2 linked regions of the Nothobranchius furzeri genome follow. The protein of the gene in region 1 purifies or fractionates together with the protein of each later gene. This does not show direct contact. Links are inferred from orthologs where the notes say so. Each region holds a gene or a part of one and is shown in the gene's direction. Other genes may lie near its edges.

What was found. The genes of interacting proteins can lie anywhere in the genome.
Region 2: the proteins of obsl1a (region 1) and calcium/calmodulin-dependent protein kinase kinase 2 purify together in Homo sapiens (affinity purification with mass spectrometry; 4 studies listed by BioGRID and IntAct, with this or other methods). This does not show direct contact. The link is inferred for Nothobranchius furzeri from reciprocal best matches to the Homo sapiens genes OBSL1 and CAMKK2.

The regions. Positions count from the first base shown.
Region 1 is NC_091742.1:63,105,408-63,109,572, reverse strand, and holds the start of obsl1a (obscurin-like protein 1a), read left to right. Parts: upstream 1-1,339; 5' UTR 1,340-1,573; intron 1,574-3,638; 5' UTR 3,639-3,743; coding exon 3,744-4,165. UniProt on the Homo sapiens protein: Core component of the 3M complex, a complex required to regulate microtubule dynamics and genome integrity. It is unclear how the 3M complex regulates microtubules, it could act by controlling the level of a microtubule stabilizer.
Region 2 is NC_091746.1:48,735,391-48,739,722, forward strand, and holds the start of calcium/calmodulin-dependent protein kinase kinase 2, read left to right. Parts: upstream 1-1,478; 5' UTR 1,479-1,666; coding exon 1,667-1,735; intron 1,736-1,954; coding exon 1,955-2,296; intron 2,297-4,332. UniProt on the Homo sapiens protein: Calcium/calmodulin-dependent protein kinase belonging to a proposed calcium-triggered signaling cascade involved in a number of cellular processes. Isoform 1, isoform 2 and isoform 3 phosphorylate CAMK1 and CAMK4. Isoform 3 phosphorylates CAMK1D.

The DNA.
Region 1 (4,165 bases):
GTCTCTGCCAATTCTCTTCCAACTGAAACCTGATCCCAGGACAAAAAGCGACGTGATTGTTGATGCAGTCATCCCTTTAAACAGCTGATTGATGACTGAATGGATAAGAATGGAGCTAACATTGGGTGGATACGTGACATAAACCGAACACAAGAGGAATCATCAAAGAAATGAATTCTGAGAACCAAAGAAATGTGTTTATTTCAACTGCAAGTTTGCAAAAGAATGAAAGATATGTGACCTGAACAGAAGGTCAAATATCTGTCGACAGCTTTCAGAGTGTCGCAGGGGCTTTGCTTCCAAAACACTTTTGAAGCGATAGCTTAAAGAGCTATTGTCTGAGAATGCAGGCAGTAAGTGTCTACAACAGATTCAGATCTGTTTTGGAGAGGGACAATTGCCGGTACTTGCAGTGGAATAACTACTACTTTACTCACAAAGCTTACCAGACTTAAACCTCTTGTTCTTCATTTACATGCTGATGTATTGAAACTAAAAACACTTGGATTGATTTTAGATGGAAACCCACAAACTCCCAGTTTACCATAAAGGCCCAGGTGGTAGAGTGCATGAAAGCCTTTAACTCCCAAGATATTGAATCCCAATGACAAGGATCAGCATTAGTCTCTTTCTTTTAGGTGAAGCGGTCTCTTATGACCATTTTCAATAAATCTTGCATCGCATCTTTCCTCACTATCCCTACATGCTGGCATGGAAGACTCGGAATAAGTTCCGAAACAATTCCACTCACTAAAATTTGACCGATTTCTGAATTTACAGCATAATTATTCTCTCTCACCTGTTTACCAAACAATACTGTTGTTGGGTCTAAAACAAAAAAAGCCCCTAAAGTCTTGTCTAGAAGTACAAGAAGTACAGTAACTAATGTGACATTGTAGGTTTTCATATCAACCTATTTATTCCAACATCAATACCATTGTTTAGCACCTCTCAATATAATCTTGTAATGCTAATGTGATTTAAACTTGAATATCTTTATTAGTCAGTATGATTGACTAATCAAAGAACTCTAGGGGGAAGGACGTCCGTCACTCCTGAGGTCTTTAGAGCTGATGGATTCAGTGCAGGTCTTGGCCTCCCAGCTATCTTTAGTGGACCATAGTCTGTGAATGGAGTGTCTAACTTTATCTGGCCCTTCGTCATGTTAGCTGTGGGTATTTTTAGGGGCTAGCTTGCAGTGGTAGCAGCTGCAAAAGAATTTATTTTCCTCTCCACTCCCTCTTTTACTCTCTAGCCTTTGGACAATGACAGAATCAGCATTGATGTGAACGCCACACGGTAATCCCTGCAAGGTAATGTGTAATTGGATGGACACGATCAAGAAAAGACACCTGTGAGCCTGACCCAACAAAAAAAATCCCTTTGTGAAGTGAACTGCTAGTTCATTGAGCCAGAATCTGTAAGCAGGTCGAAAAGACAGAAGAACAGACGTAAGCGGTCTACGGACATCTGTCTTTAAGAAGCCCACCTACAACTAAAGCAACCTGGTTGGTTTATGGACATCAGTTTTGAAGCGATCAAATGCTAAAGATGAAGTCACTTTAAAAGAGCGGTAAGTTTCACCTGTAAATGTTCATTTTCTAGTTTGAAAATAGTTTTCTGAAAAGTATCAGAAGGCTTTGTTAGTTCCTTTAATTCAATTCAGTTTATTTATATAGCGCCAAATCACGACGAGTCGTCTCACGGCACTTCACACAGTAAACATTCCAATGGAGTTCAGTTCATGATGCCAATTAGTTAATTTCCTATGTGAAGAAATGTGGAAATAAAATGTTTCTTTCTTGTATAACTAAGCCCGGTAAATGTGTATACTCCCAGTTATCAGTATTAGAGTCTAATAATAAAAAAAGCAACTATTCATTCAGAAAAAAGGGACATTTTAAATGAACTATGGTTGTTACAGCAGAACATTAAACATGGAAAAATTAAAAACACCTGCAAAAAAAGGTTTCACTTCTATTATGTACGTATTTATGCATTAGGTTGGTGACTTAATGTGTGTTCATGATGTTTTTTTTTGTCTGAGCTGTGACACATGGTCTTCAGCATGAGGCTACTTTATAAATACACTCTCCAATGAGTTACAGCACCAGCTGTGAGACAACCATGACTGTTTTGAGTTTGCTGAAAAATATCTTTCCTAACGTCCCAATGTCAAGATAGCTTTAGCCTTCCTGCATTCCATATCAGTGGTTAGCTAAGTTGGGGTTGGGACTCTGTTGTAGATCCTGAAACAAAGTGTGGGGTCTTGAGATGATCATCATAAACTCAGTTAAAGAGACACTGTGTAGTTTTTACCATTAATTTCTGGAAACATCCATCAAATTTTTGTTGAAAATAATGAAACAATGCCCAGTTGTTGAAAAATATTGACGGCTTTGTAACACATAACCCAAAAAATGTTGGTCTAAAATACATGGGAGCAGGCCTACGTTTTTGGACGATGCCATATTAGACGCCATGTTTCCTTCATCAGGAGCCCATGAGGACAAAATTAATTTACTGATTTGTAACAAACGGTTACAAAATGTTCACCATTCTTAAACGTTGTTGCTTTACACATTTACCTCGTCACTTGTTGCGAGTGATGAAGGAGAGTCGGATGTGCTTGTTATTTTGCTGAAGTTTGCACTCCCCAGGGCTTTTTGACCCTAACGGGGATCCGTTGGTAAGGTCTTCCTCCAACAAAAAAAAATACTGCTTTACGATTTAGGTATCTACTGCCTCCTATCGCCATGAAAATATACACACTGTCACTTTAAATGCAAAAAAAAAACTAAATAAATAAGCTAATTATTTATTTAATTGCACTTAATACAATGAATTAAGAAAGAATTGATAAATTTCAGTGTTATTTAACCATGTTACTGTCAGTGTTTGCATACTCATGTCTCTAGATGGGGTTGTTTTGGGGGTCAGAAGCAAAATAGTTTGGCAATCTCTATTCTAGAAATCCTCGATAGTTTGTTGGACCTTTGGCATAATTCAGGTGATCCTCTGTTAAAACCCTTGAATTAACTTTTGATGGGTCCTTTGAATTTGACAAAGAGGTCAGTTCAGTTGTCAACACAAGTTTCTTCCAGATATGACTTCAAGCAAAGGTAAAGCTCTTCATCTCTTTCAAAGATAAAAAAAATCCTCATGTTTGTTTTACAACTAACTTTGTTATAATGTGTATCATAAAGGTCTAGACTAGTCATAGCTTCATTTTCTACTGATGGTGCAAAATACTGCTGCTACGCTTCTAACAGGAACAAGAAAGCTAGACCACAAAGAGCTCCTTCTGGTGTTGCTCAAGTGACTTCCTGTCCAATACAGTTTCAGTAGGTCTTAGGGTTCTTTAAGGGTGTGTCTCATTCTATGTCATAAGTGTTTGCCTTATGTAGTTCTACGCCTCATCTATAATCCTGCAGCCAAATAACAAAATAATCTTAGATATTCTAAAATAAAATAAAAAATGCGGTGATCTTTGGAGATGCTGCCCAAAATCTGCTTAGATTAAAGAAACAAACTCTTGGATTTCTTATATTTGTAAGAATAGATGAGTCTATGGCCTTCCAAAAGACAAAATATTTTCCCACTAAATATAAACTATGATGTGTTTCTTTTTGTGCCAGAGTCAAGACTACCCAAAAACTACAGCCAACATTACAAAAAACAAGAATCTAACTTTGAAAACAATACCAGTTCTGCATTCAGGAAGGCAAAAGTTGACATTCATCATGGATATTCTTGGCGGTGCTCCTCGTGTTTTGGGCTACCCACGTCCTGTGGTGGTGCAGTGTGGAACAGATGCAACATTGAGGTGCCAAATCGGTGGAGACCCTCGTCCGGATGTTATCTGGGAACGTAAAAATGTCCAAATTCTTTCTGAAGGACGACACAAGCTTGCAGAGGAGGGAAAAGCATACTTGCTAACCATTAAGGGAGTGACCCAGCAGGATGCTGGCCAATACATCTGCAAGGCAAGAAATATCATAGGTGAAACCTACGCAGCGGCCTCACTCAAAGTGGAGGGAGAGCTCCTTGTACAAGACGGAGACATGGTTCAGTCAAGGGTAACTGGTGAAAAGCAATCAGTGAAAGCAAACGAAAATGTTAGTGGATATCTAAATGGCTACAGCGCAGTGGTAAATGGTTCGAG
Region 2 (4,332 bases), on another chromosome or scaffold:
CGTCGTCGTCTCCTCCTCTGCCCCAGACGGAGCTCCCTGGACTTTACTGGTTCCTGCCTCCTCTCCACCGGTCCCTCAGTTCCTCTTGGCCCTCCTTCCTGGTCCCCCTCCTCCCACCCTGCTCTGTGTTCCTGTGGGTGTCTGGGATCCGCCCTTTGAGGGGGGGGGGGGGGTGTAGGGTACTGTCACACCCTGTCCTGTCTCCCCGTTCTGTTTAGTCATGTGTCTCTAATTGCTCCCACCTGCCTCTCGTTTTCCAATCACCCAAGCTCCCAGCCCTCTTGTATTTAAACCCCTTCAGTTCTGTGTCTCGTGTTGGATCATTGTTTCTATGTCAGCGTGTTCCCGATTAAAATCCCTGTTTTAATGTTCCTGTTTGCCTGCCTGCCTCCTTCACCCGTGTGTGGATCCTCACCTCCGTCTCACTCACCAGCACGCCTGACATTATGTTTCTATCCTAATGAAAAAAAACATGTTTAATATTTTTGTTTTACTGAAAGTATAACAAAACTGATTACTAGTGTGCTTGGATCCTGTATGTTCTTTTCTAGTTTAGTTTAGTTTATTTCAAACAAAGAAAACATACATCATTTTTTTTAAAATACCACAAACAGAAAAAATACATATCATCATCCCTTCTTCTCTGTTTGAAAAGGAGTAGGCAGAAGTGGGAACTTATATGTCCCTACCCCTTTATACAAGTAAGTTTTACTTGTTTACTAAATCTAACACAAAACCTACATTAAAACAAACAAAATGGTACAAGTCACCAAAAAATAAAAAATAAACACCAAACCATATGGGAAAAAAAACAACAAAAAAAAACACATTTTTTTTACAATTGATACAATTTACTTTTCCTTAGAATAAAGGACACCCACTTAAATCATCGATTTTCCACTATATACTTGTTCAGAATATGTTTTTTATAATTCATTTTTAACACATTTATATTTGTACTTACTTTGATTTCCTCTTCTAAATTGTTCCATAATCTAACCCCTATTATTGTGATACACAATATACACAACCCCTTTTAGGGGTTAATAGTTAAATGCTTTCTAAGACACATGAGAAGTGTGGGTTTCAGTACCGTCCTCTAAATAAACAACATCAAAAACGAACTCTGAATGTGGAAAATAGAGCTGTGCTGCTTTAAATGTGTTGTCAGCTGAGAAACAGCTTTTGTCTTACTTTTCTGTGATGGGGACTTTGAAGTTCAGATGTGCTAAAGAAATGCAGATTGGTTCCAGCTAACACTCCTACCTGTTGACACAGCTGTGAGCAAAATAAAGACATTCCCATAAAATCTGACAGTTTAACCACCTCTCAAATGCTTATGTGTAGTTGTGCAGTAGCGGGGAAGTGTGTATTTGCAATTTTTTACGTAACAATCTGTCTTTTACTTTCTAAACAAACCCATATTTTTCTGTCCCTTTGCCTTAGACACATCTCCCCTTCGAAGGTTTGCTCTGATGGAGCAGCGATTCTCAGTCTTCCTGGACAGGCACCATGTTTCCTTGCCACGTAACTGCTTGGCCTTCTGCTGAGCCCCCAGCGTCTTGCGGTAGCCATGCCCCCTCAGTGCAGCCCTCCCAACCTCTCCCTGATCTGCTGTGCAGCTGTCCTGTGCCACCTTTAAACACTTACACTGTCCTCGGACCCCATGGAGTCCCTCATCGTGGTCACGGAGTATGAACCAAGCCGGCCACCTGGACAGGCTGCAGAGGAAGAGGTGAGATGAAAAATAATCTGATTTATAGAAAGTGCAAGATTCAAATACATAATTGGGAAAATTTGTAATAAATCTTCATATTGACCTAAAGTGAAGTTTCAAATGCTAGCCTGAATAAAAACACAAACTTTAACACCTTATTAAAAGTTTGTACTCAACTACTGACATTTATTTATGTTAAAATGAAGTAACAAAAATTATTTCTATGCACTACATCAGGTAGAAGAAATGGACAGCTCTGAGACGCCCGAGCCTGCTTCCTCCCCTGCAGCACCTTTCCGGACTCCATCCTGTGACCTGCTGTCCCATACATTTGGTCGGCCAGAGGCTCTGCTGCCGGAAAGCCAAGAGCAGAGGGGCAGGCTGAGCCTGTCCGACCGGAAGCTCTCTTTGCAGGAGCGCTCACAGACGGCAGCATCCCCCTGCAGCTCCCCTGGATTAAACGGGCGCTATATTTACCCATCACTACCATACTCTCCTATCACATCACCCCATTCTTCTCCACGTCTGCCCCGCCGGCCCACCGTGGAGTCCCACAGCGTCTCCATCACAGATCTGCAGGTACTGTTCAACCCTGAACTTTACCTTTTAGTTTTAACACCACAGTCAATTATTTGGGTTGTCACATATCAAATAATCATGACTTTAAAGAAAATTGTCTAATTAATGGCCACAAGCTGTGCAGGAGTACTGGTGATAATGTGATTCTGGATCTCTGAACCATCTGACCCACTTCATTCTTTTCTAGATGTTGTGTGTTGCATGAAACCCAAAAAACTTACTCTGACACATAGCCATGGTTCTCTTTAAAGATGTGGTTCACCCATTTAATCAATAGAGCTCCGGACGTCACGTGACTCTCAGAGAGTAGACGCCATGTTGGCAGGCAACAAATGTAAACAAAATGAACGGGATCGGCTTGGATTTTACTTCGTTGGAGTTTACTTCACACTTTAAAACCAAATAAATCTTTTTATATAGTCAGAAATTAAATTGACTAAACATCTCCGACCCTTACCGTGCCCCTGGGATACTTTTTAAAAATGCCAGAAGCTGTCAGAACGGACTTCTTACCGGACCTGGCCGGGGAACGCCTTGGGATTTCTTCGGAGGAGCTGGCCCAAGTGGCTGGGGAGAGAGAAGTCTGGGCCGCTCGACTTAGGCTACTGCCTCCATAACCTGACTCCGGATAAGCGGATGAAAATGGATGGATGGACAAATAACATAGATTTACATGTAAGTAGTTTAAATAGAGTGCTGTGCTGTTTGAAAGTATAAACTGAGCGCCAAGAGAAATCACTAGTCTGATTTTTTCCCGTGAATAAAATAAATATGTCAGGCAGGAGCGTCTCAGGATCTGTCTGAGATCTGTCTCGGTGAGACAGATAATAGCAATCCAAAGTGCTTTTTATGTGTGATCTGACAATTGATCAACCATTGCTTAAAAATTAAATACAGCTTAGCCGGTTAATTGCTGTCATCATAAAACACGTAAACGGCAGCACGCAGAAACACGAGGCAACGTTTTACGTGACGTTTACTTGTTGCTATGAGTAATAAGACAGAAAAAGCCACGCCAAAATAAGTTTAGGAAGCCCACTAAGAATCGTAATAAAAGCATTTAAAATAAACACCATACACAGTTGAGGAAACGTTGGTTTAAGTACCTGATATGAAGCGGTCGCTGCATAAGCGAAAACCTTTACTCTCGGGATCCCACAGTTTCATTTTAGCCCGGTCACTAGCACGTTTTATTACAATGATCCAACGTTTGCAGCGCTCCGGATCTTGGGGAATCCTGTAGATGGCTCATTCCTTGTGTCGTCCACGTCTGTTCTGCATTCTGGGGCACAACAGGAATCTACCATATTTCCTGTTTGATTGAGTTTTCTGACAATAACAAATAGTCCAGCCGCTGGCTTCTGACTGCCAAGATGGCGCCGTTTTGATTGGAACTGTTGCATGCCGGGAGAAGTGACGTCAACTCCCGGAGCTCTATACATTTGCAGTGGTCTCTAGCAGGAATGCCATTTTCGGAGGTAGGGGTGGGTATGCCTGTTTCAGGAAGTACAAATCAGCATGAGAAAGAAGCTTCAGGTGGCAGGATTTGGATTTGAACATCTCCCTTCTGATCTGCTAACAGCAAAGCAACTCTATCACTGACTCTGTTAGCTCTGCAACGTTGATGCTTTATCTCCACAAAAAACACAAGCTTGAAGGAGTTCTGCTGTGTTGTGGAGTTGCTAATGCTAAGGGCTGTGATATACTTGCTGTTTGACCTCGTGTTGGTGCAGGCAGCAGGCTGCGTCTTTGTTCACATACTTGCTACTACACAGCACTGCACTGCATGTAGTTCTGGAGCATTCCATTAAGGGGTACACTAGACTATTCAGACCAGATGGAGAGAGCTGGGTTTGTGGGTACAGCCAAAACAAACATGGCGTCAATAAAAGACCTCACTAACTGGTTAGTTTGGAAATCACGAAAGAAAAAAAAGAGAGCAGCGGTGAGATGGTGTGAAAGCCCTCTAAACCAGATACAGAGTCACCATGTTGGCACGACGCGAGTGCGCCTCTGTCTCCAGTATGCCCAAGGCT